Elephas maximus indicus: one gene and its partners. The protein of the gene in region 2 interacts with the protein of the main gene of each other region in a pairwise test. Links are inferred from orthologs where the notes say so. Each region holds a gene or a part of one and is shown on either strand. Other genes may lie near its edges.

Evidence for each region.
Region 1: the proteins of NRIP1 (region 2) and RORB interact in a two-hybrid assay, tested with the Homo sapiens proteins (2 studies listed by BioGRID). The link is inferred for Elephas maximus indicus from reciprocal best matches to the Homo sapiens genes NRIP1 and RORB.
Region 3: the proteins of NRIP1 (region 2) and CIB1 interact in a two-hybrid assay, tested with the Homo sapiens proteins (2 studies listed by BioGRID and IntAct). The link is inferred for Elephas maximus indicus from reciprocal best matches to the Homo sapiens genes NRIP1 and CIB1.
Region 4: the proteins of NRIP1 (region 2) and ESR2 interact in a two-hybrid assay, tested with the Homo sapiens proteins (2 studies listed by BioGRID, with this or other methods). The link is inferred for Elephas maximus indicus from reciprocal best matches to the Homo sapiens genes NRIP1 and ESR2.

The regions. Positions count from the first base shown.
Region 1 is NC_064827.1:90,655,031-90,662,846, forward strand, and holds the start of RORB (nuclear receptor ROR-beta), read left to right. Parts: upstream 1-4,800; 5' UTR 4,801-5,435; coding exon 5,436-5,442; intron 5,443-7,816. UniProt on the Homo sapiens protein: Nuclear receptor that binds DNA as a monomer to ROR response elements (RORE) containing a single core motif half-site 5'-AGGTCA-3' preceded by a short A-T-rich sequence.
Region 2 is NC_064836.1:46,669,358-46,676,987, reverse strand, and holds the start of NRIP1 (nuclear receptor-interacting protein 1), read right to left. Parts: upstream 3,007-7,630; 5' UTR 2,770-3,006; intron 1,863-2,769; exon of another isoform or gene 1,784-1,862; intron 1-1,783. UniProt on the Homo sapiens protein: Modulates transcriptional activation by steroid receptors such as NR3C1, NR3C2 and ESR1. Also modulates transcriptional repression by nuclear hormone receptors.
Region 3 is NC_064831.1:75,440,600-75,448,298, reverse strand, and holds the start of CIB1 (calcium and integrin-binding protein 1), read right to left. Parts: upstream 3,004-7,699; 5' UTR 2,897-3,003; coding exon 2,846-2,896; intron 2,717-2,845; coding exon 2,682-2,716; intron 1,218-2,681; coding exon 1,109-1,217; intron 1-1,108. UniProt on the Homo sapiens protein: Calcium-binding protein that plays a role in the regulation of numerous cellular processes, such as cell differentiation, cell division, cell proliferation, cell migration, thrombosis, angiogenesis, cardiac hypertrophy and apoptosis.
Region 4 is NC_064828.1:76,639,160-76,646,708, forward strand, and holds the start of ESR2 (estrogen receptor beta), read right to left. Parts: upstream 3,016-7,549; 5' UTR 2,171-3,015; intron 1-2,170. Other genes in the region: coiled-coil domain-containing protein 170-like, read right to left, coding at 7,062-7,226.

The DNA of each region.
Region 1 (7,816 bases), on a different chromosome or scaffold from region 2:
TGGGGATTCAATAAGGAAAGAAATAAAATCAAGAAAAGTCCCTACACTGATGGAACTTACATTTTAGTGGCTAGATCTGGGTTTGAATAGTGGATCCAGCATGTTTATATTTGTGGTCTCAAATAAGTTAATCTTTCTAAGGCTCTGTTCCATTATCTGTTTAAGAAAGATAGAATGGGAGAGAATATAAAACATGCAGACTCTTAAAAGAATTAGAAATTAGATAGGCTGTTGGATCACATGATTCATGTGACCAATGTTAACTTTTTCCCCTGACCTGTGTATCTTGCCCTCTTCCTAAAGCTTACACTACTCACTTTGTATCCCGCATATTATGGTTCATCTTATGTTTTGTCCCAAAAACACACTTTCCATTTTATTGCCTAAAGCACAAACTATACATTTTTTTGAAAATTTTGCATTTTTTCATTGTGAAAATATGTTCGACTTGCATCCATACTTTAAAATGAAACAGACCCTAAAGTACAAAAAGAAAACTCTCCACATTAGAATAAAATTGAGAATATCATGAATATAAAAAAAACTAGATTCAGTTTTCTTTAATAATTATGTAACCAATCTCAAACATCATTTTTCTCTTCCCCAAATTGGAAGAGTTTAAAATGCAGTCTCTCTCTTTATCTGTATCTATCTACCTACGTACGTATCTATCTATCTCTTTCTCTTTTAATTAGATGCTAAGAAAGAAACCTTATTCAGGTCTTTGCTCCATTTCTGGTTCAGAACCAGTGGGCAAAGGACTTGGAAGCATTCATTCAACTAATAATTACCAAGCACTACCAAGTCCCAGGAGCTTTTCCAAACTCTAAGGATATTCCGGCTCTTGCTCTCACGAAGCTTGCATTTCAGCGGAGAAAGTGCATCTCTGTTGCAACTTCTGGTGCAGTGGTCATAGACTACATGCGGATACATTCAGAGTTACAGAAGATCTTGGAGGCAATCCAGACAATTTCCAACCTACTGCAGGATCATCTCTACTAGAACGTCTTTCCTAGGGTCTTCCATGCCGCTCTTGTTTAGATGTTTCCAGCAACAAGGAACTCACCACTTTGCTATTTCCATTTTTATGGGTTCAGCTGTTAAGTTCTTATATTTTTCTGGTGTTTCCAGTATTTAAAGGCAGCTTTATGTCTCTTTCTCAATTTTCACAGCTACTACCACTCCCTACACTGGACTAGATATACGAAGCTTTCCATCATTGCTTACGTAATATTGTTATCAATATTGCCAGTGTCCCTCTAAGATTCATAATTAGTGAAAAGACTCTCTCTGTGGAGATTGACCAGCTCCGAATATAGTGAAACATTCCTACTTATTTGGGTTGAAGCAGTTTGAGATTGAAATATCTTTTTTTCAAGGCTACCCTACCTTTTTGGCTTATATTAAACCTTCCGCTTGGTCAGAATACTTCTTGTCATTTTTACTCCAAAGCCTCTTAGCTAAGCCTGAGGGTTGATGACATGTGGAGAAAGCAAGCAAACAGGGAAGCCTGAGTGAAATTTTATCAATTCTTGTGATTATGTAGTGCTGTGTGACTTACTAATTGTCATATAAATTTATCAGAATTTAGCTATTAATTTAAGATGTGCTTCAGATCCAGAGCCCAAAGCAAAGTTTCAAGCTTATAGGAAACCAGACAGTTCCATAGTCATTCAAATTAAATTACTGACACTGTACTTCACATACAATCGACTCGATAGCACTGGGTTTGTTTTTTTCTGGGTACTTCATATGAACAAGGACAATAATATAGATGTATCATTGTTTTGTCATTTGCAATATGGATATTTGCTTTCACATAGGTTACAAAACATCAAGTTATATATAAGTGTTTTGTCACTGCTTGGAAAATGTAGATTTCTTTCATTTAGATCATGAATATTTATTTTACAGAAACAGGTCCCACCCAGTTGAAATAAATTTGGAAGTTATTAGAAAACACTCAAGAATTCATTTTTTAAATTCTTAGGAAGATATACAATGACCCATGTTATGGATTGAACTGTGTCCCCCAAAAATACATGTTGTAAATCATAAACTCTATGCCTGTGGTTATAATCTCATTTGGGAATGGGTTGTCTTTGTTACGTTAATGAGATAGGATTAGTGTAGAGTGTGTTTTGAGTCAATCTCTTTTGAGATATAAAAGGGAATAAACCCAAGCTAGCAAGCAGAGATGGGGGAAGAGAACTGCCAAGCCACACGAGGACCGCCCAGGAGCAGAGGCTAGGAGAGACAAGAACCTTCCTCCAGAGCCAACAGAGAGAGAAAGCCTTCCCCTGCAGCTGGCACCCTGCGCTTGGACTTCTAGCCTCCGAAACTGTGAAAAAATTCTGTTTGTTAAAGCCACTCACTTGTGGCATTTCTGTTATAGCAGCACTAGATAACTAAGACAACCCAGATCACGATAACCAATGAGCAACATTTATTCCACCCTAAAAGAAGAAAAAACTTGTATATCATCATACATGTAATATATTACACACACAGTTTTGAAAAATGAATAACATGTTTATAGTCTTTATTTCTAGTGAACAGTTTTCCCAATGATATTCAGAAGGGATTAAGAAATGTAAGATATATCCCTAAGCAAAATTATACATCCTTGAACTCACAAAGCAAACGACACACAAAAGTATCTTACGGGGAAAAAGTACTTTTCATATATATGTTGACTACTCTTTTAAGGATTACAGATACTGAAGGAGTAAAAAGAACTTTCAGAATCCAACAAATGTTTAAAAATTTAAGACTACATTACAGAGTTAAAATTCTTGAATTTTGAAATTCCTCTTTCCTCTAATGGGAAATATAAATCTAAAATAATAACAACAATAACAATATTTACAAAAGATTTGGAATTTTCAACACTCGTCTGTCTCTGCTTGAAGCTCACATGAAATTAAAATGACATAGTCACAATTTGTTTCTTGACTATTTTATATTCAGTAATTTTTAATGAAGCAACTAAATTAGGCATAACTTAGTGCAGCTTTAATGTAGTTATGATGAATATATTTTACTTGATTAAAAATGATCAAACCAGGGAGCCTTAAATATTATCTTAAAAGATTAACTACTGTGTCAATTACAAATCTAGGCAAAAGGTATTTATAAGGGAATAACTATTCTGAACAGTAACTTCCTTTTGTTCATTTCATTTAATTAATGACTCAATCAGCTTTCACACTTAATACTAAAAATTTCCTAAATTACACATTGGCTTGCAAATGGGAGGGCAAGTAGCAGACTATATCAATTTAACACTAGTGAAGACTCAGCAAGTAATCCACTTTTTATTTAATCAGGGAGGGAGGACCTGCTTTGGCAGCGTAGAGTGATCTAATTAACTAAATAATTGCCAAGTCTACATTGTATTTTGTGCTATATGACATAAAATGAGTAAATACTAGTAAAAATCAAATTATTTAGATGCCTGAACGTTGATGAGGCCTGCTCTGCCAACAGGTATGCTATTAAGTTAAAGCCTCGATGCCTTAAAATTGACTTATTGTTGTTGCTAGTTGCCCTGAATTATTCTGATGTCACAGTGACCAATTTTTTCACCTCCCTGCCTTTTAGGGTCGCTATGAGTAGAAATCGACTCCACCGCACTGGGTTTGGTTTTTTTGGTTTTTTGGTCTTTTAGGGTGACCAATTAGCCAAAATATTTAAGAAGCTCCCTACTATAGGGAGGAAAGCAGATGTAGTCATCTATATAATGTATTTATTTCTCCACAGAGAGGGAAAAACTTGCAAAATAATAGTTTTCCTGATAGGCATTAGGTCATTATTAAGATATGAATAAAAGGTCACAGATGATAATTTTCACTTAAGGAATACAAATAACACTTCTATTTAATTGCCAATCTCTTCTAAATAGGTAAATGTGTTCTGGCAGCAACTAAGGTTAACAGTTCCTTCCTCCTGGAGTTCCCCATCTTCATCAACTAAAGAGCAGCACCCACACATTTGCCCTCAGCCCCTTTGACTACCCGTCACTTAGGTGGCCACACTGATCAACTTGGCCTGTTATCCTTGAGTCCAGTAGCCCAATACCCCCAGGGATTAGCCACATGCTGATAAAAATGCATTTCCTTGACAAAAGAAAAGCACTTAAAAAAAAAAAAAAGAGGAAAGCTGTCAGTCCCCTGTCTTTTTTAGGACGGGGGAGCATCTGAAAAATGTTTTTAAAGGAAGTGGACGGTTACTTGCACGGGATTGTATTTTAGTTCCGCAAAAAGTGATGGAAGTGGATTTGCACTCTTCCGCCACTGAAACTGAAGGGTCCTGGCACATGGAAACGGCCCTGCCAGAGAAGCGAAGTTTACCGAAAAGGACTGGGCAGAGAGCTGCCATCAATTCAAAACTAACTATCCGGGGCTCACAAGCGCTGCGAGAGAGGACAGACCGTGGGACCGGGGAGCCTCGCGTCCCTCGCTCGCGGAGCTCTGGCCAGTGTTCTCCTCCCTCCCGCTGGAGTCGGAAGTGACTGTCACCTGCAGGTCCGCCCGACTCCCTGGGTGCGTCCGTCCTTCTCCTTTGCCCTGTTGGGACAGTCCGGGTTCCAGCCCCGTCCACCTCTGGCTCCAGTGTCCCTCACCGCCGCCACCCCCACCCGCTCCTCGGGTCCCCTCCCCCGCGGTTCCAGCCCCGCCAAGCGCTGCCGGGAGCTGATTGGCCACGGCGCTGACAGGAGGCGGGGCCTGGAAGTCGCGGCCAAACCCGCCCTGGCGTATAAGCCCCTTCTCGACTCTCTCTCTCCATCTCTCTCCTCTTTCTCTCTCGCTCCCTTCCTCCCTGTAACTGAACAGTGAAAATTCACATTGTGGATCCGCTAACAGGCACAGATGTCATGTGAAAACGCACATGCTCTGCCATCCACACCGCCTTTCTTTTCTTTCTGCTTCCTTTTTTTTTTTTCCCCTTGCTCCTTCTCCCTCTTCTTTGTAACTAACAAAACCACCACCAACTCCTCCTCCCGCTGCTGCCCTTCCTCCTCCTCCTCAGTCCAAGTGATCACAAAAGAAATCTTCTGAGCCGGAGGCAGTGGCATTTTTTAAAAGCAAGCACATTGGAGAGAAGGAAAAGAGAAAAAAGCAAAACAAAACCCAGGCACCAGCCAGCCAGGACATTTTTTTTTTTCCACCCTTCCCGAAAACAAACAAACAGACAAACAACCATCAAAACAAAACAGTCACCACCACCCTCCTCCAAACTGTTAGCTTAACAGCAGCGGCGGCGGCAAGCGTCACCCTCCGGCCAAGGCGTTCGCCTAAAGGGATGGTTTTCTCGGCAGAGCAGCTCTTCACCGACCACCTTCTGCACTTGTGCTGAGCGGGGATTTTGGGGCTCTCCGGGGTTCGGGCTGGGAGCAGCTTCATGACTACGCGGAGCGGGAGAGCGGCTACACCATGCGAGGTAAGCGAGCCCGCCGGCACCGAGGCGCCCGGGTCCGGCCAAGTGCAGCCAGATGGAGCGATGGGGGAGGGGAGGTCACCCAGTTGAAGGGGAAAGAGCTTGGCGGGGCGTAGTTCCCTGAGTTCGCCTTCGCAGACGGAACTGCAAATGGCCTCGGCGTACAAAGTTGTGGGAAGGTGTTGACGCCTCTCGGGAGTTCTGGAGGGACGCGGGAGGGCGCTTTTTGGGAAGGGAGCGATGTTGGTTGCCTCCTCCGGATCCTTGAGTTGCACTGAATCTTTTCTGCGCGTCTCTCTGGTGCGCGGAAGTGGAAGCGGGAGGGAGGGAGAGCGGAAGAGGGATGCCTCTCGGCCTAAGCAGCTGGAAGTGCTCGCGCCAAGCGGCCCCTGGCCCGGGCTGGGCGCGCAGGGCGCACGGGCGGGTGGTGGGGCGGGCATGCACGGGCGCACACACTGCCCTGGTTACACGGCCCACCAGCGTCCCGGCAGCAGACACATCCCCTCGCAGGGGTGGGAGGCAGAGGGGAGGTGTTATGGAGCCGGACGCTGCTGCGGGGACCGTCGCCCTTGCGCTCCTCTCGTGCCGGCACTGCGCCCTGGACAGGTCTGCGTGCCCGGGCCCCTGCAGCCCAGGGAAGAGCGCGACCCCGAAAAAGTTGAGTGGAGGAAGTTCTGCAGGCGAAGAGAGTCCGCACTACCCGGGGTAGGGAGAGCCAGGGTCCCGAGTTCTTTCGTAAACACAGGGCGCTTGCGGGAGGCAAGTGATGGGTGCTCTCTCGGGCCAAGACCTCCGGCAGAGGCACAGGCAGGAATCCCGGGTGAGCTGGCGGCTGTCGGGCGGCACACTGGGAGCAGGGTCCAGACACCTGCTCCTGTTGCACTCCGGGCCGCTCGACGGATGGCCCTCCGGTTTTGGGGAGTCACTTTGTCCTTCTCCTCCGCTTCTGTGCTCGAGATTTTGAGGGTTCCTACGCCTTGCGCCGGAGCCCTTCTTTTTTTGCTTGGCCACAACTTTAGTCTTGGCGGGTCAGTGCCCGCATATCATGGGCATCTGGGCAAGCCTCTGTGTACCCTCAAACTCTACCCTCTTTCTTTCTTCCTGACCAACCCTTCGGTTCTCTGAGACTCTACTCTCCCTCCCTTCGCACCTCCCTCTACATCTTGGCAACTAAAAGTTGGAGACAGCCAGGTCTGAACCTTCCGGCATCCAGGACCCCTTGAGAGGTGAACTGGCAAGAAGCACTTTGGAGAGTTGGGCTGCAAGCTCTTTTCACTTCCACCGGGCTGTGTTCCTCTCCCGCCCACTCCCCGAAGACCCTCTAGGAGCGTCCCGAGAGTGCATTGGGCATCTCCCCATCCCTGAAGCCTGGACGCTAGGGCGGAGATTGGTTAGCCGGCTGGGCGCTGGGATGTGGCAAGAGGGGAAAGGAGTAGGAAGAGGAGGAGCTGAGAGAGGTCGTATGTCCATTTGTGGGGGCAGCTGTAGATAAGGGGCACGGATATCCGAGTGGGAGAGTCTTAATTGACCCGCGCACAGAGGGTGGGGCCCCGTGCGTGTGCTGGTTCCGATGAGTGTCCGGGCTTGGGGCTGGTCACGTGCTCAAAGGCCCAAAATCTTTTGGGAAACTCAGATGTGCAACTGTCGAGTGTAGAGCTTTTACTTAGAGATGCTCCAGTCTTTTTTTCTTTCTTTTTCTGTCCCATCCCACCACCCTATTCATCTCTTTTCGGTTCCTCCTACTCCCGTCCGAGGTTGCCAGACCTTCCTTCTCCCTCTTTTGTCCTTCCAATCTTCCCCCTATGGCTGGATTCACAGGTTCTCATGGTCCGAAACCACGTGTCTCCTTAGCTCCGACCCGGCACTACAACCTTGGGCGTAAAAGCTGCTCACACTCTCCTTACATTGTAGAAGGGAGAGAAGCGCGAAGCAAGCGTGATAGTAGCTTGATCGCGCCACTCCTGAAGGAGCAGTTTGCAAGCAAATTCTCGCTTCACCCACAGTGCTCCCTAAGAGCCAAGCTCCGGGAATCCAGAAGTTTGCAGGGTTGAAAAGCCAGGCGCTATCCTCATGCTAACTTTGAGAACCCCAGTGTAATCCCACACCCCCGTCACCAAGGACGCGACCTCTCCAGGCGGCTGAGAACTACTTCTGACAAGTTCTAACCTGGGAGGCAGCTCGCAGACGTCCTGGGGGTAAAGCGCTGGAGAAAAGACAGGCAGAATCGTTGGCCGAGTCTCTTTCTCGCCTCCTCTGCCTCTCTTTTCCTGTTCCGTTACTGCCTCTGTGCCTTGGTGCTTTTGCATTTACAGCGAACTATGCCCTTCCGCGACATCAGGGGTTGTTATTTAAGGATGGCAAGAGAAAGATCCAGGCT
Region 2 (7,630 bases):
TACATATTTTACTCACACTCCTGAGACCCTTTTTTTTTTTTTTTGGAAAGAGGTCTTTCCCCAGCAGAGTGTACAACACAGATCTAGTAATCCTGCAGCCTGCAGGTTAGCAGCTGCTCCATAGATCAACCCTCCTTCTTTTGTCTCTAAGAGCTAAGAAGAGGCAGAGAAAAGTTACTGTTAGTGCTAAAGCCACTGCTCCGTGAACCAGTGAAACCCCTACCTATGTCACCAAACCACTGTTACCAAACCGCCAGACAAAAGCAGAGTAACTTGCTTGGAAGTTGAAAAACATTTCAATACACTCCAGGGAGCAACCCACACTTAGGTGCCTGACAGATGAAAAGCGCCCACTTGTTTTTAAAAGTCCACTTATTTTGCTCTCTTCAACAAAGGTGGCAAACTGATGATTAAACATTGAATAATCTCATCTGGAAGATGCCGCCCACTTGCTAAACCTATGATTCACTAATAAGCGGCTTCAACGCAACTCATAACTTTAAAGAATGAATTACCAGAGCCCCTGACTTCACAAATTCCCTAAGAAATGAAAAGAGTACTCATCGTATATAACCGACAACCATTTTTACTTTAGACACCTATACACGGTCGTGCTTCCTGTAAAGAAAATATTTCCCCACAACCTCACATTTAATCGCTTGCATTACAGGCGATAGGCTCCAACTGAGTTCTACCAACTGAGTTACAAGTCAATTTTTCTCCCAAAATAAAATGTCCCGTTAAAAAAACATTTTAAAACAAAAGTGCTTCTCATTCTCCTATTTTCCTCTATTTACGAACCAATTAAATTACTAACGTGGTAAAAACTAGAAACTCCTGTAATGCTTCAGCGATCAACATGTGTCAGACTTCCAGCCTGTTCTCTAAGACACAGTTGATTCCTTTGTTCCTACTGACTGGAGATGAACTCCTGATTAAAATTTTAAAAACTACTTTGGAACGGATAGGCGGGTATGTAAAACGATTTGCATGGAAAGCCTTCATAAATCAACGATATTCAAAAATAATAGGGAGGACACATACCTAAGGAGAGAAAAGGAGGCTCCTCAAAGCTCCGAGGACCTTTCCGGGCTCACCCTAAATGAAAGCCAGTTTCCTGGCTCCGAGGTAAAATGATGGCTGAGGCCTCGGGTCCCAGGGGCCTCGCCCTCGGGAGCGGTACCGGCGGGGCGGGCCTGGGGGCCCACAGAGCTGTCCCCTGTCCTATTCACTTTTCGTGGCTCGGAATCGGGCGAGCACAGCCCAAGGAGGCACCGGGGCGAGAAGCGGGGAGCAGCGCCCGGCGCCGCCCAGGACGCCGCGGGGCAGCAGGACCGAGCGCGGCGCGGCGAGAAGCGCCCGGGACTCCGGGCCGAGGGGGACAGCCGAACCGATCGCGACACCAGCCCGGCCACCCGCCCCCCGGGCCCGTCCCGCCGCCAGGGACCCTCAACCGCCCCCTGCCCTGGCCCTGAGCCGGCACGGGCGGGCTAGCGAACCCAGCTACAACTCCACAACTTGCCAGCCTCGCCCCCCGGGCCCCCGGGTTCCCGGGGCGATTCGAACCCGGGAGGGGCGGAGAAGCAGAGGCGGGATTTCCCCGGAAACGATTCCTCCCCGCCGCCGAGCCCACACCGCTGCCTGCGTTCGCTCCGCCACCAGCACCGAGGCCCCCGACGCCCCCGCGGCCCTGCCCGCCAACGCCGCGGGCCGCGCTCCGGGGCCGTTTCCGGCGACGCGAGCGGCCGCTCCTCGCAGCCCCCCGGCCGCGGCCGCCACTCACCCGAAGCCGCTGCGGCTCGGAGCCTGCGGCTCCGTCAGGCTCAGTCCGCGAGGGCGCCCTGCCGCCTCGTCCTCCGTCTGCGCCCCGGCGAGCTCTTCCCCGCGAGCACAGCGGCCCACGCGAGGCCACGGCGGGCACGCGCGGGCGGGCGGGCGCGAGGGCGCGGGGCCGGGTTGTCCCTCCGCCTCGACCGCCGCCTCCGCCGCCGCCGCCGCCGCCGCCTCCCGAGTTCGGGGCTCTGCTGCAATGTCTGCGAGGCTGACTTTGAGCGCCTCGCTCGCCGCCCGCCCGCCCGCCCGCCCGCCCGCAGCCGCGCTCCTCCCTCTGCCGCCGAGTCCTCCGCGGCCCAGTCCCTCCCCTCGCCGCTCCACGCCATTCAGCTCTTCAGCCAAGTTTCTTAACCCTTTTTTCCCCCGTCTCTCCGGGGCGCTCGGGTCCAGGAGGCTGCAGGAGCTGGGGAGACCCCTCTATTTTGTTGTTTTCCTCCTCGCCCGCCACCCAGAGGGCCGGGCCGGGGCTGCAGGACCGGGGGGAGCGGGAGGACCGCGTCGGCAAGGAGAAGTGGGTGCTCGGCGCGTCCCAGCCGTCCCCCTCGGCTCCTGGATCTGTCCAGCCGCCCCCGACCGCCTCAGGCACCTGGACAGCTCCTCCCCGGGGCCTGGGGGCATAGTTCCTGTTACGTTAGGACAAAGGGCTCGCGTTCGGGGCGCAGCCTGGGCGACCGGGCACCCTAAATGCTTCCAGGGTCCCTGCCTGGCTGTTGGCGCCGTATGAGTCTCCCTCCTCCCATTTCACCCCACTACACGCGTTCCCGCGGCACCTTTCACCCACCCTCCAACTTCCACATCCTTTTAATCTGTGCGTCCTGCTTTAATCTTGAGGGGCGAGGGCACTAACACTAGGTTACTTGGGCCCCTTGGCCAGCTCGCAGTAGGCACCCAACGATAAATGTGGAGTGCCTCCGAGAGGAAAACTGGGAAGGAGACCTGAGGAGCGCCCCTTTCAGCTCCCTGGACGGACGTAGGACCCAGGAACAGGGTTTATCTTCAGTTGCTTTGTCACTGCGAAGTCTCCAGCGGAGTCTGTCAGCGAATCCACATCATCCCCGGAAAGCCTTTGACCCGACAAGACAAGGCGAAAAGAACAGGGCTGCCACTTCAGCAGCTCTCTTCGGTTCTGTCTCCGAATAAGAAATAACAATTACATCACGAGGCCGGGGCGGCAGCTCTGTGTACCTCGGTTTCCTGCAGCCTAATCTCGCTGAACACGCCTCTCAGTGTGTGTGTGTGTGTGTGTGTGTGTGTGTGTGTGTGTGTGTGTGTGTGTGTGTGTGTGTGTGTGTGTGTGTGTGTGTGTGTGTGTGTGTGTGTGTGTGTGTGTGTGTGTGTGTGTGTGTGTGTGTGTGTGTGTGTGTGTGTGTGTGTGTGTGTGTGTGTGGTGGGGGGGAGGGTTATAGATTGGTGAAGCGAGAAAGTGTAGGGAGGAGAGAGTCATACGAAACCATAATTTCCCCCTTCTCTTTACGTTTGCTGTTCGCACATCTTATCTTCAAAGCTCCCCAAACCTCTAACTAGAACTATTAACACTCCCTCAACACATCACCTATGTCAGGTTTCTCTTTGGCTCTAGCTTTAGTAACTCCCCCTGAAACAATTATCAAGGGAAATGGATGCCACTGCTGAAATTGTGTTTGCTTGGCACAAAAACGCTGAAGTACAGCTTAGCCTCACCCTAAACACCGAAATGGCACACTCGTGTTAAAACACTTCTTACACAAATGAGTCAGGCACTCCACTCGTGTAGATTTTCATATCCTTACCAATTTGGTAGCATTTGAAAATAGAGTTGCTAGTGCACTTTAAAAAAAAAAAAAAAAAACTATCCAAGTTATAAAACCGTGTTCCATGTCTGTTATGTAATGGTTGTATTGTGCATTTAAAATTTCACTTAACCTTTAAAAATATGAATGAGAGTTTCGGAATGCCTACACAGTCTTGAAAGCGAAAGCCATTTTTGAAAATAATTCTTCATAAATCTAGCACCTAGCACAGCACCTGGCACATGGCAGGAATATTTTGCTTAATAGTGATGGTGCATTTTAAAACTGTTTTACATCAGCCTGGTGATTCAACTATGCAATCTGTTGCCTTCTTATACGGTTTAAACTTCATGTAATAGTTTATTTGCATATACCACGGTTCGAAATCTGCTCCAGGTGAATTCCTTAGTAAAGTCTGCTGTTCTGTAATACGTCATTTATCCAGGACTGATACAAAATAAACTGCCCCAGTGAGTGATGATCAGCATAATTAGAGTTTGTCCCTTTAAGGGGCCAAACTTTTTGGTAAAATATGCTTTAACTTTTATGGGAAAGATTTTCCAAAATGTATTATAAATGTTTCTGTTTTCTCAAGCACTTCATTGAACGTCATTTAACATTTTCTTGAAAATCCGAGGTCAATTTTATTAAAATGAATTATTGTAGTAGATTGTAGTGGATTCCACAAACGCATCGATTTCCTATTCTATATCAGGTATCTTCCCAGGTGCTAAGGATGCTCCCAGAGGCTAAAGAGCTATCAACCTGTTGCCATCTAGTTGATTCTGATTCCTAGCAACCCTATAGGACACAGTAGAACTGCCCCATAGGGTTTCAGAGGAGTGGCTGGTGGATTCGGACTGCAAACCTTTTAGTTAGCAGCCTTAGCTCTTAACTACTGCATAAAAAAAAAAAAATTCTATCCAGTCGATTCTGACTCATAGCGACCCTATAGGACAGAGTAGAACTGCCTCATAGAGTTCCCAAGGAACGCCTGGTGAATTCGAACTGCCAACCTTTTGGATAGCAGCCGTTGTAAATAACCACTACGCCACCAGGGTTTCCTAACCATTGCATTCAAGACATCAATGGCTGAATAAAGGACTTTGGAATGCTACCACTTAGATACTAACTCGGCCTTTTGTAGTTTCTCCCCCTTCACTAACTGACAATCTGTTGTCAGTTGTCTCTCTGTTGCCAGCATTCCTGCCTCTAACATTCCCCTCCTCTTCTGATTGGCAGCTTCTAGCCTGGGCAGACTGGGAATTCAGATAGCCTCGCTTGTCACAATCCTGTCTAAAGTAAAACTAAATAGGTTCCATGTCAGAGACTTACGTACTCACCAATGAGTAAGGCACATTTACCTTAGTGCGTAGACTCTAGGACAGATATTTGGACAGCTCGAATGTTGCTTTTGAAACATTCTTTTTGCTTCTCGTTGAGGCTGTTAGATAAACAACCTCTTAAAACCTGAGGTTACATAATTAACCCAACAAGCTAAGTCTTGGTCCTGCCCTTCAACACTACTTTTAAAAAGTCCACTGCCATATGTTAGATGACTGAACAAAGGGGGAGCAGAACTGCTAGTTCCTTGTAATGAATCTGCCTTCTCAACACCAACAGAAAGCCAATCATTGAAGTCTCAAACCCTATTTGACAGTGCACTCATGTTAAGTAAATTGCACACCTTTTGTGGAATTCATTTTTACTTAATCCTGCTTAATTGTGTTGGGATGATTTTGTTGTTCTTTTTTTTTTTTTAATCAATACCCAAATTCCAGGCTAAGAGTCATCACAGGGATCCTGGGGCTTGTATGTAATAGAAGCATGCCTATTTAGTAATTTGTATTTTGAAGCCAACTCTCATTTTAATAAATTGTGATGTGAAAAAAATTTTTTAACCATTTACACACTTGGGTTTTTTTGTTGTTTTGTTTTTTAAGCCCAGGGTTCCTGTGGGATCAGATACTTATAGTTCAGGCTCAATATGCTTACCTACCACAAAAAAATAATCTGGTGAGGTATGTCTCAGATGTGCCACCTGAACCTCTCCTGTGATAGCACTTTTCACACCATTTAGTGATGGGGTGTTTGCTTGTCTGTACTTAGCACTTAGCACGCAAACACTATAGGCAGGGAACCCATATCCCTAACACTCACATCTGGATATCTCCACCACCTAGCCCTGTGCTCTGCAAACAGAAGGCATTCAGTAAACACTGGGGCAGATACTGTCATAGCCTAGAGGACAGAATGTTTATTTCTATTTGGGTGTGGAGCAAGGGAGATCAGAGAAAATTTTACAGAGAAAGTCATGCTTCAACTGGCTATTAAATGGTGAGAAGAAATTGCCAGGTAGACAAAGTGGGAAAGGAGTTCTCAGGAGAAGATACAGACTGTTTTACAATAGAGAAGTAGGAAGAAAACAAAAACATGCTTTGAGAATTATTGAACTTACACACTATGGAATGAACTATTACACTTTGGGGGGATATATATATGTATATGTCCATGGCAGTGGGTTTTTATATGTATATATATTATACATAATAATAATGGATATATTATATACAGATGGAACTTCAGTGTAGCTATACCCTTAGTTACAGCCCCATAACCTCTAGCGTGGCACAATTAAAAAAAAAAAAGCCACAAATATGAGCTACACATGTCATTTTAGATTTTCTGGTAGCCACATTTAGAAATGTAAAAAGAAACAGGTGAAGATAATTTTAACAATGTACTTTAACCCAATGTGTCCAAAATATTATCATTTCAATGTGTAATCAACATAATGCTATTAATTAGATATTTAAAATTATTTTATTTGTACTAAAAAAACAAAATAAAACCCGTTGACGCCGAGTCAATTTCTACTCAGAACAACCCTATAGGACAGAGTAGAACTGCCCCATAGGGTTTCCAAGGAAGGTCTGGTGGATTCGAACTGCCAACCCTTTGGTTAGTAACCATAGTTCTTAACTGCTACAGCACCAGGGTTTCTTTATTTGTACTATGTCTTCAAAATCCACCATGCATTTCACACATGCAGTGTATCTCGATTTGGACTAGCCACTTTCCAGTGCTCAGTAGCCACATGTGGCCAGTGACCAGTGTATTAGACAGTGTATCTCTAAAGAACTTGTGAAACTTTTAACTAGGTAAAGCCAAAAGGAATTTTCTCTTCTTATTAAAGCTTAGATTTAATTTGTGCCGATTACCAGTGTTTAACTAAACTGCATTATAAAGACTATTTTCTTGAGTCTAGGCTTTTATACCAATTAGAGAATCAACAAAGTTTACACTTTATGTACTGTGTCTTCATTAATCGTATTATAGTTACAACTACCCCATCTCTATCATCTACGGTGGTGGACTGTAAATGTAAACTGGCTCTACGGCAGAAATGAAATGCTAAAAATTTTGGGTTGAGTAAGCTTAAAAAAAAGTCCTCCCTATTTTTTTTTAGAGCACAGACTTACCTCTATGCTAGTTACTGTGAAGCATCCCCCTAGCTGTAGAAGGCCAGGTTTTGCTCTTCAACTACTCCATGCTCAGTTACTTGTGGACTACAAAATTTGCCCAGCCTTTGTTTGAGGCAGCCACCTACCTAAAGCTGCGGCAATAAGGATGTGCTACAGCTACCTGAGCGTTGAAGGAGGCCTAACAAGCTCAAATGGAGATGTTCAGACACCCTTTCTGCAGGTTACTATGCAGCTTTCCTTTAATGAAATTGGAGCTTTTTATTTTGGGTGGGACTGAAGTACTAGGATACTAAATTTCTACACTAAAGGGAGTCATGAGGACTAGGGTTAGATCTTTAAAAAAAAGAAAATCTGAAAATAATTGAGTCCAGGCAGCTGGAAGTGTACAAGGAAATGACAAATAATAAAATGCAAATGTATGGTGATGCCTTTTTAGTCCCCAAACAAGAAAATGTCTGGGATACCTACGGAGTCCAAAAAGCCGTGATGCCATGGTCATTAGGCACCCAGATTGCTCCTATTCTGCTCTCATTGGCTCTTGGT
Region 3 (7,699 bases), on a different chromosome or scaffold from region 2:
CTTTTTCTTTCAAAGCCTCACCAGAAGCACATTTAACACCCACATTTCTAGCAACATTCTGTTGCTGGTGCCATATACATTCCCTAAGATGATACTTTCCCTATAGCTCTCTTCACTTTCTTTCGGAGCTCTCCCCAGAATTGCCTTTGTCATCTATAATTCTACCAACAGTCTCTTCAAGGCAATCTAAGCTTTTACTACTATTAGGTGCCTTAAAACTCTTCCAGCCTCCACCCATTACCCAATTCCCAAACCATTTCCATATTGTAGGTATTTGTTACAGCAGCACTCCCACTTCTCGGTACCAAATTCTGTCTTAGTTATCTAGTGCTGCTGTAACAGAAATATCCCAAGTGAATGGCTTTAACAAACATTTATTTTCTCACAATTTAGGAAGCTAGAAGTCCAAATTTAGGGTACCACCTCTAGGGGAAGTCTTTATCTGTTGGCTCTAGAGGAAGGTCCATGTGTTTGCTTTGAGCTTCTGCTCTTGGGCAAGCTTCATGGGGCTTGACATCTCTCTTCCCTCATCTCTGCTACTGTTGCTTGCTTATTTAATCTCTTTTATATCTCAAAAGAGACTGGCTTAAAACACACCCTATACTTATCCTGTCTCATTAACATAAAGACAATCCATTCCCAAATGGGATTATAACCACAGGCATAGAGGTTAGGATTCACAACACATTTTTGGGAGATAAAATTCAGTCTGCAACAGCTGGTTATTTTAAAACACAAACATTTAATTAAACACCTACTCTGTTAGAGGCTGTTAGAGGCACTGGGCCAGGCCCTTTGCACAGTAATTGTCACAGCAGTCCTACAGAATGGCAATCACTCTCGGGAACAGGGACTCTCAAACTTTAATAAGAGAACTTGATTACTCTTAAAGGACAAAAATTCTTTGAACCTCTGAGAATATGTCCTAGAACCTCGTGTGAGAAACCCTTTTCTAGATAATTCCACTGGGTGATCTGGTAAAGCCCTTCACCCCAGGAAATTAGGCTAAACAGAGAACGGACCAGTAACCTCATGATCTGAAAGGCAGTGGTAGATGAGAGGGAGTCTAGCAGAGGGAATGTGTGTGCAGGGCGTAGGGGACTGGTACCTTGAGCTCTGGAAGGCTTAGGATCTGCTGGAAGGACACTCGTGCCTGCAGTGACTCCTCCATGCTCCGATGACCCTGAGGAAGCAGCTCACAAAACCGCTTGTGGGCTCTGCCAAAAAGGGGAACTTGTTGTCTCACTCAACCAATTACAGCCTTCCTGGGTATATTATGTTCCCATTCCTCGTGTAGGAGCCCCGGTGGTACAGTGGTTAAAGTGTTTGGCTAGTAACTGAAAGATGGGGCCGGGGGGGCGGGGAGCGGTTTCGAACCTACTAGCCACTCTGCAGGAGAAAGATACGGCAATCTGCTTCCATAAAGATTTTTTTGTTTTTGTTTTGTTTTTTTGTATGTATGTGGCAGAGCCACAGAGGCTCACCTGGCGTATAATGGGTAGCAATGCAAGGAATTAAAAAAATCCCACTGCCCTCAAATGGATTCCAACTTATAGCAACCCTGTAGGACAGAGTAGAATAGTCCCATAGGGTTTCCAAGGCTGTAAATCTTTACGGAAGCAGACTGCCACATCTTTCTCCGGGAGGCGTCGGTAAGTTCGAACTTTGGACCTTTTGGTTAGCGGTCGAGAGTTTAACCACTGCACCACCAGGGCTCTGCACATAAGACTTAGGAAAGTCATCACGTGACATAAGCAGAAAGGAGATATATCACAAGATGTACAGGCTGGAAATCCATTCTCACGACGAGTATTTATGGAGGGCCTGCTGTGAGCCAGGCACTGTGACGGGCAATGGTTCTGGAGATCTCAGAGGGATGAAGTTGGGGGAAAGAGCCAGATGTTAGCCCTGAAGAACAGGGGAATATGAACAGAATCGAAATCTCATTCTCGCCCCAAGGATCTCTGGTTCCTCAAAGCCTCCCTCTCTTTATCAGCTTCCCTGAACCATCTGTTCCTCACCACTCACCTGCTTCTCACTGGGATTATCTTTGTCAAGGGAAGTCCAGGAATCTCCTCACTCAAGTGCCCTAGCCCACGCTGAAGCTGTCACAAGGCTAGAAAACGGGGTTCCAGCCTGTGGTCAAATCCTTTAACTGTGAGTGTAGTCTTAAGCAAGTCACCAAATCTCTCTGAACCTGTTTCATTGTCCCGGTTCCTCTCTCGTGAGCATGGAAATAGGATATGTAGGCAACCATTTAGCACAGTTCCTGGCGCATGGTAAGCGTTAACGGTTACTATATTATTCACGTAAAGCTGGGGGAAGGAGTCAGGCATCTCTGGTTTTGCCAGAGGACAGTCAGCCAAGAGCTACAGCAGCCCCTGCCGGCCTGGGGCAGGAAGTTCGGGAGTCCTGTGTAGAAGCAGGGTCAAAGAACGCCCAACTTTTCCTGGGGACTGTGAGGCGGCTTCGCGGTGCAAAGCGGGGGGCCCCAGTGGAATGTCCCGGAAGGAGGGCGCATTCTGGGCCGGGGCTCGGAGTCCAGTTCCGGCTCCGCTGCCTAACTCAGGCAAGCCCCTGCCCCTCCCTCGGGGGGCCTAGCGTATCCGTAAAACAGCACCACCCGAAACTGTCCCTAGAGGGCCCCGAAGTCGGAGGCGGGGGTTCCAGGGAGCACTTACAGGAGGATCTCCTGCTTGGTCAGGAACGTCAAGTCCTGGAAGGCAAAGCCAGAGAATGGGTCAGCCGGCCGCCCCGAGGCCTCACTCGCCCTGCCGCCCGCTCTGAGCCCCGCTCCCGGGACAAGGCCACGCGCGAGCTCCCAGGGGACCGGCGTCCCGTGCACCTGGTACTCGGCCAGCAGCTCCTTAGACAGGCGACTGCCCGAGCCCCCCATCGCCGCGTCGCGCGCACTGCTCCGCCAACTCGGCTCCGGACTCCGACAACTTTCTCACTTCCGCCCTCTGGTCGCGTCACCGCCCCGTCCCCGCAGCAACCGCTCCTTAAAGCGCCCGAGTCCTCCCAGAGGGGTTTAGCCGGCGAGCTCCCGGCTCCGGGCGGTCCTTAAGCGAGCTGGAGGCGGGGCCCGGGGCGGGGCCGGACGCTCCGGGGCGGAGCCCAGGCCACACGGCCCCGCCTCCAGGGTGGGCGGGCCGGGCGGTGCTGCGCGCGTGAGCGCAGGATGCGCATGCGTGAAGAGAGTTGCGCCCTAGCTATGGGTACTGTGGCCGCTGAGGGCGAAGTCGCGCGGTGCGCCTTCCTCACCTACTGCTGGTGGTGGCAGCGGCGGTCCTGGGCGGGGTCGAGTAAGGGACATCTGGGAAGTCCTGGAGCCAGGGTACCTGGGAAATCTCGAGACTCGCTGAGTGGCCGAAACCGGGCGGCTACGCACCTGCCCAGCGAAGGCTTTTCCGGACTTGATCTCTCGGCATTCGCCCCATGTTTTGCAGCCCCCATGCCACCTCCTCCAGGAGTATCCACAACCTTGCTGCCGCTGAGGGCCCACTGAATGCCAAGCACTTTGCGTAGTTTTCTTTGATTCTTAGGAACCCTGCAAGGTAGGTTCTGGTTTTACAAATGTGGAAATACAGAGGTCCACGTTCGGGCAATTAGAAAGTGGTCGCTGCAATCCAAGGCTCGCTCCGTTGCTCTCTACTGCTGTCGTCATTCCAGCTGAGACGCTCTCCTCTCACCCCACCCCACCCACACCCCTAGACCGCGTGCACCCTGTCCGTAGGGTCCGAGGCTGACCTGTTTGTTGTTGCCCCCTCTCAGCCCCTAGGACAGTTTTAAAAAATATATAGTGCTTTAGGTGAAAATTTGCAGAGCAAATCAATTTCCCATTCGATAGTTTGTACATGAAGTGTTCCATGACAGTGGTTGCGTTCTCCACAATGTGTCAGCACTCTCCCCATTTCCGTTGTGGGTTCCCCGGCTCCTTCCTTCCGCTTTTTCTATACTTTCTTGTCTTCTTATCTTTGCTTTTTGGCAAATGTTGTCCTTTTGATCTTGTATAGTTGATTGTTCTAAGGAACATGTTCCTCTCTGACGTTGTTGTTTATTTTATGGGCCCTAGAACAATTCTTGGTACATCTTGGTACATTTTAGTAGGGTTCAGTAAGTATTTATTGGATGAATGAATGAATGAATGAAGGAAATTGCACTATTACAAAGATGATTCCCAGGTGCGTGGCGCAGGTGGTATTAATTATTGATTCTTCCACTTCATTCTCCTTGCTGATCTTTGTAAACTCTAAACCTGAGCATATCAGACTCAGTTTAAAACCATTAAAAAAAAAAAACAAAAAAAAACCTTTGCTGTGAAGTCAGTTCTGACCTATAGTGACTCTATAGGACAGAGCAGAACTGCCCCATAGGGTTTCCAAAGAGCAGCTAGTGGATTCGAAGTGCCAGCCTTTTGGTTAGCAGCTGTAGCTCCCCTTAGCTCCTAACCACAGTGCCACCCACACCACGGCTCCTTAAAACCATTAAATGGTTTAAAAAACCCAAGTCCTGACCCTCTGTTACCTGACTTCCAACTCTCTTTCTGCCCTTTTCCTGTGGCTCTCTTGTGTTTCAGCCACTTTGGGCTCTCAGTTCTTTTTCCTAGCTGTGATCCACCCAGTCTCAGGGTCTTTGCACGCTGTGTTCTCCTTTACCTACAAAGTCTTCTCCTCAAGCCCTTTCCATTGCTCAGTAACTCTTAGCCACTTGTAGTCATCCTTCAGTTCAAACATCTTATCCTCAGGGAAGCCTTTCCTGACACCCTAAACTAGATAAGAAATCTATTTTACACCCACAGAGTACCCAGTCCATCTCCTTGACAGCATGCAAATTTTATATTGGATGATAATTGGTTTAATATCTGTTTCCTGCACTAGACTGTAAGATTGAACAGCTATGGAGAACCATTATCCCCAGGACCTGATTTGTGGCAGTTGTTTAGTAAATGTTTGCTGAGTGTCTGAAGTGTTCCCAGTACTCGATAATCAGGCAGTCATCTGAGAGTGACTCTAGTAAGACTCACAGTATCTACATATAACGAGTTCCACCATTGTAGAAATAGTCCACTCCAAGAAATGGGAGGCCGGGAAGCTGTGGGAACACCAAGGCCAAGTGACTGGCCTAGTCCTAGGAAGCTATAACCTGATCATTTGTCTCTAACAACAGCTCTTCCTGTAGAAAAGGTTTGGTCTTCAGTTAGTTAACCAAAAAAACCAAACCCGTTGCTGTCGATTCAGTTCCGACTCAGCAATTCTCTAGGACAGAGTAGAACTGCCCCATAGGGTTTCTAAGGAGCAGCTAGTGGATTTGAACTGCTGACCTTTTGATTAGCAGCCAAGCCCTTAACCACTTGTACCACCAGGGTGCCTTGGTTAGTAAAAAGTGGAGGCAAAAAACAAGAAGCTGTCACTGCCTACACTAGACAGAGGGAGCACTGGCCAGCCAGTAGCTGACCTTGTGGTGAGTCTATATTTGTTCATAGTGAAGATGTTGGAATTGACTTTATATCATGGTGACCAGTGAGATCTAGATTTTCTGGTCACCTCACTTGGCTCTGAAACCTTTTTCACTGAACATCCTTCTGATTATAATTGTGCTTTCTGGTAGATTTTTTTTTTTTTTTTTTACGAAGGAGGGAATATACTGACCAGCCAACAAGAACATTTTGTGCCGTTTGGCATGATTTTCATGTTCGAACCCACGGCCACTTCACAGAAGAAAGATGTGGTAGTCTGCTTCTGGAAACCCTATGGGACAGTTCTACTCTGACCTGTAGGGTCACTGTGAGTTGGAATTGACTTTACAGCAAGGGATTTTTTGAAAAGTTCACAAAGCTAGTGAATGTTGTTAGCTGGAAACCCTCCCAAACCTTGCCCCATGGCCATGTGCATCTCTTCCTTTGTGTCCTTTCTTACTACAATAAAGATGTAATCATTAAGTAGAGCCCTTTCCTTGAGTTCTGTGAGTCATTCCAATGAATTACGAACCTGAGAGAGTAGTGAGGGCCAGCAGGTCAGAAATGAGAGGGGTTGGGGCCCTCTGAGCTTATAGCAGGTATCCTGAGTGGGTAGAGGGAACCCCAGACTTGTAACTAGCAGGTCAAAAGTGAGGGGAGACCAGCCCCCGTCCAAGCTTGAGGCTGGCATCCTGAAGGGGTAGTGGAAAAACCTCAAACTGCGGCCAAGGGGTCAGAAATGAGGGTGTTGTATGGACTCTCAAGCTTGCAGCTGGCAGCTAAAGTCTTAGGACTACTTGTCCATCTGGAGGACTGTGTCCTTTAACTTGTGAGCTCTGACACAACTTTAGGTGGTCAGGATCAGAGGAAGAAGTGCTGCATAGGCAGCTGGTGTCAGAACTGAACAGAGAAGTCAAAAAATTAGATACTTGATTGTTCTTGTTGTTAGGTGCCGACGAGTTGGTTCTGACTCATAGCGACCCCATGCACAACAGAACGAAACACTGCCTGGTCCTGAGCCATCCTTACAATCGTTGTCATGCTTGAGCTCATTGTTGCAGCCACTGTGTCAGTCCACCTCGTTGAGGGTCTTCCTCTTTTCCGCTGACCCTGTACTCTGCCAAGCATGATGTCCTTCTCCAGGGACTGATCCCTCCTGACAACATGTCCAAAGTATGTAAGACGCAGTCTTGCCATCCTTGCTTCTAAGGAGCATTCTGGCTGTACTTCTTCCAAGACAGATTTGTTCGTTCTTTTGGCACCCCATGGTATATTCAATATTCTTCTCCAGCACCACAATTCAAAGGCGTCAATTCTTCTTCGGTCTTCCTTATTCGTTGTCCAGCTTTCACATGCATATGATGCAATTGAAAATATCATGGCTTGGGTCAGGCACACCTTAGTCTTCAAGGTGACATCTTTGCTCTTCAACACTTTGAAGAGGTCCTTTGCAGCAGATTTACCCAATGCAATGCATCTTGTGATTTCTCAACTGCTGCTTCCAGGGCTGTTGATTGTGGATCCAAGTAAAATGAAATCCTTGACAACTTCAGTCTTTTCTCTGTTTATCATGATGTTGCTCATTGGTCCAGTTGTGAGGATTTTTGTTTTCTTTATGTTGAGGTGTAATCCATACTGAAGGCTGTGGTCTTTGATCTTCATTAGTAAGTGCCTCAAGTCCTCTTCACTTTCAGCAAGCAAGGTTGTGTCATCTGCATAACGCAGGTTGTTAATGAGTCTTCCTCCAATCCTGATGCCCCATTCTTCTTCATATAGTCCAGCTTCTCAGATTATTTGCTCAGCATACAGATTGAATAGGTATGGTGAAAGAATACAACCCTGACACACACCTTTCTTGACTTTAAACCAATCAGTATCCCCTTGTTCTGTCTGAACAACTGCCTCTTGATCTATGTAAAGGCTCCTCTATGAGCACAATTAAGTGTTCTGGAATTCCTATTCTTCGCAGTGTTATCCATAGTTTGTTATGTTCCACACAGTAGAATGCCTTTGCATAGTCAGTAAAACACAGATAAACATCCTTCTGGTATTCTCTGCTTTCAGCCAGGATCCATCTGACATCATCAGTGATATCCCTGGTTCCGTATCCTCTTCTGAAACTGGCCTGAATTTCTGGCAGTTCCCTGCTGCAGCTGTTTTTGAATGATCTTCAGCAAAATTTTGCTTGCGTGTGACATTAATGATATTGTTCGATAATTTCCACATTCGGTTGGATCACCT
Region 4 (7,549 bases), on a different chromosome or scaffold from region 2:
TGTACCTAACATGATACAACAAATACACATGCAACCAAAAATGCGCTAGCCCTGTTTACATCTTATTTTATAAGTGAAAAAGAAAACAAAAATATTTGCTGCACACATACAAAGCAAAAATGCTCATAACAACTACAGTCCTCATTTCTGCAACTGGTCACACGGTCATAACTGGTATTTAGAACTATCTTCTTCCACCACCCATTGTGTATTCCCTTTGCCATCACCAAGCACCTCAGCTGGTTGTGGTTCTTTTCCTGGTGGGGTGACCCAAGCCTTTATTCCTGAAGGATCTGGGGCAGTAGTAGTCATGTTGAAATTGGGCTGCAGTGTTTTTCCATTGATTTTAATCACAGGGCATTGTAGTACTAAGAGACACCCTAAGAGAGCTCCTGCATTCCAGACATACTCTTCTTTACCTCCATTATGTAATATCAATCCGATTTCCTATTGGTAATCAGGATCAATCACACCAGCCAGTATGGTAACTCCCTTCTTTGCCTGTTGATCCAGAGGCATAAGGAGCCCAAAGAGGCCAGGTGGCATTCTTAGCTTCCAGTTCAATGGAACCAGTGATGTGTCTCCAGTTGGAAGTATTCCTCCCTTCCAAAGAACTAAGACCTCTAGAGCCACAGAGCATAAGGTCACAGGGACAAGAAGCAAAAATTTTGCAAGTGGGTCACTAGGGTTAATAGTGAGTGGTGCCACTCCCATTTCTACCTCTTGATTCCTAGACCCATGAATTCTGGCTATGGGAGAAACCGCACCATATACTGGACGCTGATTTAGAACACATACAGCCTCCTGCAATACACTGTCCCAAACCTGCAAGGAACTGCCACCTAGCTGGCACCATAATTGTGTCTTTAGAAGGCCGTTCCATTGTTCTATCAATCCAGCTGCTTCAGGATGATGGGGATGTTATCAGTCCTCCAGGTCTCACTCGGGGCAACACTGAGACATGAGTCAGTTGAAAGTGAAAGAAAGCTTTATTTGGTTGGCCAAATAAAAGAGCACATCAGGACCTGCATCGCCAAGATTGTTTCCTGATCGGCAGGGACAGCAGTTTATATGCGTAGGATAACGGAGTGGGGGCTCTTCTTCAGGTGGTGTTCAGGAATGTGGTCCCTCAGGGTTGGTGGACAACTTCTACGATGATGTTGTTGTCATTGGGTACAGAAAGTCGCACTGGGATTCAGGATTCACGAGATGGCGGCAGCAAAGGGAAAATGGTGACTTAGCTCCTCCCAGCCCCCCGCAACCCGTCAGCGCCATCTCTGTAATATGTTGCCAGGAGGACAAGGTGAGGCTGTCTGTGCATGAATGCGTTGTTCTGTGCCTGCAAGGGCACCTCAGACTGATCCTGTCCAGTATTTGCCCCAGGGAATGTTGTAACTGGTTTGATCTTCCATCCAGACCACTAAAACTTTCTCCATGTCAGCAATGAGGCTGTTTGGCTTTCTTGTCATTCACTTGTTTACTGGAGTAGCACTTTTAATTTCCTTCAAGAGCTTTTCCTTTGCATTCACAACTTGGCTAACTGTTTGGTACAAGAGGCCTAGCTTTCAGCCTATCTTGGCTTTCAACATACCTTCCTCACTAAGCTTAATCATTTCTAGCTTTCGAGTTAAAGTGGGAGATGTGTGACTCTTCCTTTCACTTGAACACTTAAGAGGACATATAATTGGCCTAATTTCAATATTGTCGTGTCTCAGATAATAGGGAGGCCTGAGCAGAGGGAGAGAGACTGGGGAACGGCTGGTCAGAAAAGCAGTCAAAAAAAACACAACATGTATCGATTAAGTTTGCTGTCTTAAATGGGAGCAGTTCATGGTGCCCCAAAACAATCACGTTTGTATCGTCAAAGATCACTGATTACAGATCACCATAATAGATAATACAATAATGAAAAGGTTTGAAATATTGCAAGAATTACCAAAGTGTGACACAGAGACATGAAGTCAGCACATGCTGTTGGAAAAATTGCACTCATAGATTTGCTCGACGCAGGATTGTCACAACCATCAATTTATAAAAAACACAACATCTGCGAAACACAATAAAATGAAGTGTGCCTGTAACTGCCTATTTGTATTAGTGGCTGTATCTAGTCCTGAGTCTTAAATGCTACTGCACAACCACTATCATGTCAAATGATTCAACAACTCACCTGACAACAAGAGAAGGAGACATTAACCGCAGTCCAAGAACAGACTAAGGTCTCCGGGTATTTTTCTGGTTTTGTTCAGCAAAATCTTGACAATTGTGAAAATCTGGATATCACAGATTAACGTCTTCTAGTCTGACATCACCTTGGTTCTCCAGTCATGCTCCCAAGCAAACGCCCGATCTAATTTCTTCTCCAGAGTGGCTGCCTATGGATAGGCTCGCCCTTGTCAGCCAACACACAAAGCACGGAGTGTCTCCAAATCTTGGTGAATGGGCATATAGTTTATGTAAGGCAAGGAGGGTTCCCTGGTGGCACGGTGGTTAAGCACTGGCTGCTAACCCAATGGTCTGTGGTAGAACCCACGACCACTCCCTCCTCTGACAGTCGGCTTCCATAAAGATTACAGCCTTGGAAACCCTAGGAGGCAGTACTTCCCTGTCCTATATGGTCGCTACGAGTTGGAATCGACTACACGGCAAGGGGTTTTACGTAAGGCCGCGATCCGTTCTCCAACCTCGAATCCGATGTGGGGGAATCTGACAAAACCTAGATTTGCAAAGCTGACGACCCTCTCGGAGCACTAGCAATCCCCCCAGCGTTATCGCAGACACAGAGGGACCAGCGCGGCGCTCCTACTCTGACATCCCTCCCAGCTCAGCAGGGCCTAAGGCAGCAGGCTTCAACTCTGGCTGAGACTCAGATTCACCGAGATTTTACGAACACTGTTATGGGCGCCATCCCACACCCTCCCAACAGAATCGGGGTGAGGACCCTGACACCAGCTTCACAGCGCCGGTGTGTACAAAGTCGGCAGCCGCACCACATCTGCAGGCACTTCAGCGCTCCCAGCAAGTTCCGCGCCGGGTAGCTCCGCCTAGACTCTGCCGGGGCAGCCCAGGTCCCTCAGTCTCCTAGCAACGCGCCACCTACCGGCCCGGAGGGCTAGGGAAGGGCCTCCCGCGCGGGCGATATCGTTCTCCCGCGACATCGCCCCGCCTCTGGTCCCTGATTGGCTAGAATCGCACCAGGAGTTTCCTCCTACTCCTTCAGATGTCCCCCGCCGCATCCAAAGACTCATCTGGAACGTTCTTTCCATCAGCCAATCATTTCCTCCAGCCAGTAATCAGCGAATGATTCCTTCACTGTCTCCCACCCCTAGCACGGTCCAGAATTGTCTCTCAGTTAAAAAAAAAAAAAAAAAAAATTTTTTTTTTTAAGTGGCCCCTGGAGGCCTGGTGGCGCAATGGTTAAGTGATAGGACTGCTAACCAAGAGGTAAAGGTAAGCAGTTCAAATTCACCTGCCGGTCCTTGGAAACCCTACAGGGCAGTTCTATCCTGTCCTCTAGGGTCGCTGTGGGTCGGAGTCGCCTCCAAAGCAACGAGTTTGGGTTTTCTTTTTTTCTTTTTTTGGTTAAGTGGCCTCTAGTCGGCCTCTCCGCAGTGCTGCGCAAGCGCAGCCACTTTGCGGGATGCTGGCGCAGTAGCGCGGACTCCCTGGCCGCTGGCTAAGCATGTGGCTTCGCATGTCCTGCTGTCTGCTGAGGGAATCATACCACCCTAGATGAGACCACTTTGGGAATCTTCAAAGGGAAGATAATCTCTGCGTAAGCTGCTGCACTTGTTGCTAGGGTGCGTTGAGCCACAGGCGAGTGGTCTGAGCGGCATGTGCAGACCCTAATGGTCCCTCTGTCCGGAAGGGGGTATCTTCAGGGGAAAGGTGAATTGGAGGGTGGAGACGAAGGTAGATCTCAGCCTGTCACACCTTGCAGCCGAGGAAAGGGGCCCCAGGCAGAATTAGCGTTTGCAGGTGAGCCGCCTGGTGGCTGTGCCCGCTGGCTTCTGTCCTTCTGGGGCAATAAACTCCTTTATCTGACCCAAAAATGTGTCTTCCAGGATAGTTGGGCATGCCTGGAACAGTCAAAACTCAGAAATCCAGGCCACCCTTCCTCTCTGTGTTTGAGATCAGAGAGGGCCAGAGCTTGACTGAGGGTCGCAAGGCTGGTTAGAACCAAGGTCTAGTTTGGCCCCTGAGAAAATTCAGCATGCCAGTGAGTGGGAGATCTGAATGCTTAACTAGTGGCTGGTTGTCAAAATTTATTCTACTGTTGGTCATTTGGGTATTTTCCAGTTTGGGGCAATTATGAATAGTGCTGCCATGAATAATCTTGCAAATGTCTTTTTGTAGACTGTACACATTTCCATCAGGTATGTATGTTGTGTGCCGTTGAGTTGATTCTGACTCATAGCGACCCTAGAGGACAGAGTAGAGCTGCTCTATAGTGTCTCCTAGGCCATAATCTTTAGGGAATTCACCAGGTTTTTTCCTCTCACGGAGCAACTGGAGCAGCTGGTGGATCCGAACCTCCAACCTTTCAGTTAGCAGCAGATCTCTTAACCGTTGTGCCACCAGAGTTCTAAGTGTATATATATATATATATATATATATATATATAACAACAACATACACCTGTTGATGTGGAGTCAATTTCAACTCATAGCAGACCCTATTGGACAGAGTAGAACTGCCCCATAGAGTTTCCAAGGAGCAGCAGGTGGATTTGAACTGCCGAACTTTTGGTTAGCAGCCTTAGCGCTTAACCACTATGCCACCAGGGCTTTGTTACAGCAGCAATAGGAAACTAATATGCTGCCAAAATATTTTCCAAAGTACTTTTATCAATTTATAATTTTTACAATTTACATTTTTTAACTTAGGGAGCATTGGAAAAAAAAAAACATACTTCAGCCCTACACCACATCAAAGTGAACTGGAATCTCAGTAGGCCTGGAAAAAAAACTTTTTTTTTTTTAAGTTCATTAGGTAATTCTAATGCATCTCGAGGCTGAAAACCACTTACCTAAAGTCTTAAATCTAAATCCAGTTCTCATCGTTGAAGAACAGTGTGTCAGTGATCTGTCTAAAAGTACAGAAAGCATTTTCTGGAGAGTGCTGGTCCAGATCATTGAAGGGTCTTTCTCTGCCTCCGCAGTTAACGAACCTTTACATTGTCCTGCGGTTGAAGTACCTACTAACAATTCAAAGGAATAGTAAGACTAAGGTCCCTTTGTGCTTACAGAGTGTTTTCTTTTAATGTGCTCATAAGGTAGCTCTTTCAGAGACTGCTGCAATTTGGCACCTTGACCTTCCTGGAGAGCTTGACTTTGGGAGCTGGGAGCTTGTGCACAGTGCTCGGGAGTCCTCAGAGGGGATGCCCGGGGAGCGACGTGGCCTACCTGGCTTGTGGTATAGCACAGTCCTCCCAGCTCCTTGTGCTAAGGTTGCAGAAGGCAGCTGGGTGGCCCTGGGGGAATCCTGAAGCAGAAGGTACAGTAAAACCTGCAAAAGCCAGAACCTGTGTGAGGTAGAAACCTATCAAAAAGGAATATGCAAGTATTTTCCAACTAATAGCAATAGAAAAGTGGTAAGACTGCACCCTGTCAAAATGGAAAACTTGCAAAACCCAGAAAAACAAGGAGGTCCCGTCAAGCTCCTCCTCTCACAGGTTTTTCACTCTAGTTCTTACAGCTTAGGCAGGTTGGGCTACATTAGGGCTCTGGGCAGCGTGTGCCCACCTTCCTCTTTCGCAAGGCTAAGGACAGTCTTGAAAGGAAATACATGCAGGCTTCTCTCACTTGCAGCCAGGGATCCTGAAGTCTGGGGAAAGTCTTTCATTCCCCACATTTGAAGGTTTTTGTCTTTGGTAGTAATGCATCAACTGCTGTGCCTCCCTAGGGGACAGATTGACAAGTCCTGAGGCCATGGGCCATTCCCATCACAAAGATACATCATTGAAAGGAATGAAGAGTAGTCTAATGTTGAAACAATAAACTACCTGGAGCTAGTAGTTCATGTGGTTTCCTGACACGCACCAAGTGTCACTGTATTTTCCTCTAAAATTTGAAATATTCCATGACATTCCTATGAGATTGCTGCAGCACACCAGGGTGCCTTGTCACACAATTTGGGAACCACAGCTGTGACCATTTAAAAGATGAGTGACTCATTTTTTCCTTGAATGAGTATTCAATCATTTTCTTCCCAAGGTACAGAAGATCCAATGTAACCTGACCTCTTCCACCCTAAGAATCCCTCTAAAACTAAGCGCAGTAGGAGATCCTTTTAAACGCCCACAGCTGGCACTTAGTGCCCATAGCCCTGTGCAGATTCTGACCTTTTCCCGCAGAGGACATCTTAGGTGAATCTAACACTATCCTGGGAGATAAGCAGTTTCCTATTTCAAATGAAATGAATTAAAAATTATACTATTTAAAAATTAGCCCAATTTTTATATGAGAGACTGATTAGATTTGTAAACTTTCACTTACAGCACAATAAAAAAAAAAAAGTAGCCCATTAACTTAGAGATCTGGCCACCATTAGGAAAGCACTGGCAGAGACTATTAAACACTAAGAAAATAAAAATCACACTACAGTGTACTGCAGATTTATAAGAATTCTCAATGACTTTCCTGCCCCTCAACATTTCAGATCTGATTTTCACACTCTCAGGTAATCAAATAATTTCAGAAGCCATAGATCATAACTTTACCTGGCTCCCAAGAGGGATTTCAAACCCAATAAATTATTCATTCTGAAAACAGGCTTAACTATGGATGTAAATATTCCAACTTAAGCACAAGTTCTGCTTAATATCCTACTTAAAATACAGTTAACAAATATAATTAGATAATTATATGTTACAAATAAATTAAAGTAGATCATAATACATAGAACAAAATTATGACAAAAGCTAAACGCAAACAGGAGAACAGATTCAAGTGAAAATTTTCCAGTGCATTTTATTCATAATGTAGCTGCATTCAAGATGCTGAAGGAAACATCCATATCGGGTGAGTTCTTGTTGGCAGCAAGGAAGAGGCAGAACTTCTTTAGTCATTCTCCGGTTCAGCCTCATCATCAGAAGCAGTCCTTGATTTTTTGTTAGATGCTTCATAAGCTTGTAGAATAAACCTGAGCTGATTGATGACTTCTTCATCTGCTGTTTTCATGTGAAATCCCAACATCTTTGTAATGGTTTCTCGAAACTCAGCAAGCTGCAAGAACCAAGACATCATTAGTTTTGCTCACCCACTTGTTACATAAAGTGAAGCTGCTACTAGAAATGTAGTCTTATTAAACATTTCTTTATGAAATGTCTATTCTACATTCAAACAGTATTTTTTTAATTAAGCTCCTAGAATCACCTGTTGCCATTGAGCTGAATCCAAATCATAGCAACCCTATAGGACAGAGTATAACTGCCCCATAGGGTTTCCAAGGAGCGGCTGGTGGATTCGAACAGCCAATCTTTTGGTTAGCAGCTGAGCTCTTAACCACTGTGCCACCAGGGCCCCCCAAGATCCTAGAATAGTGGTCT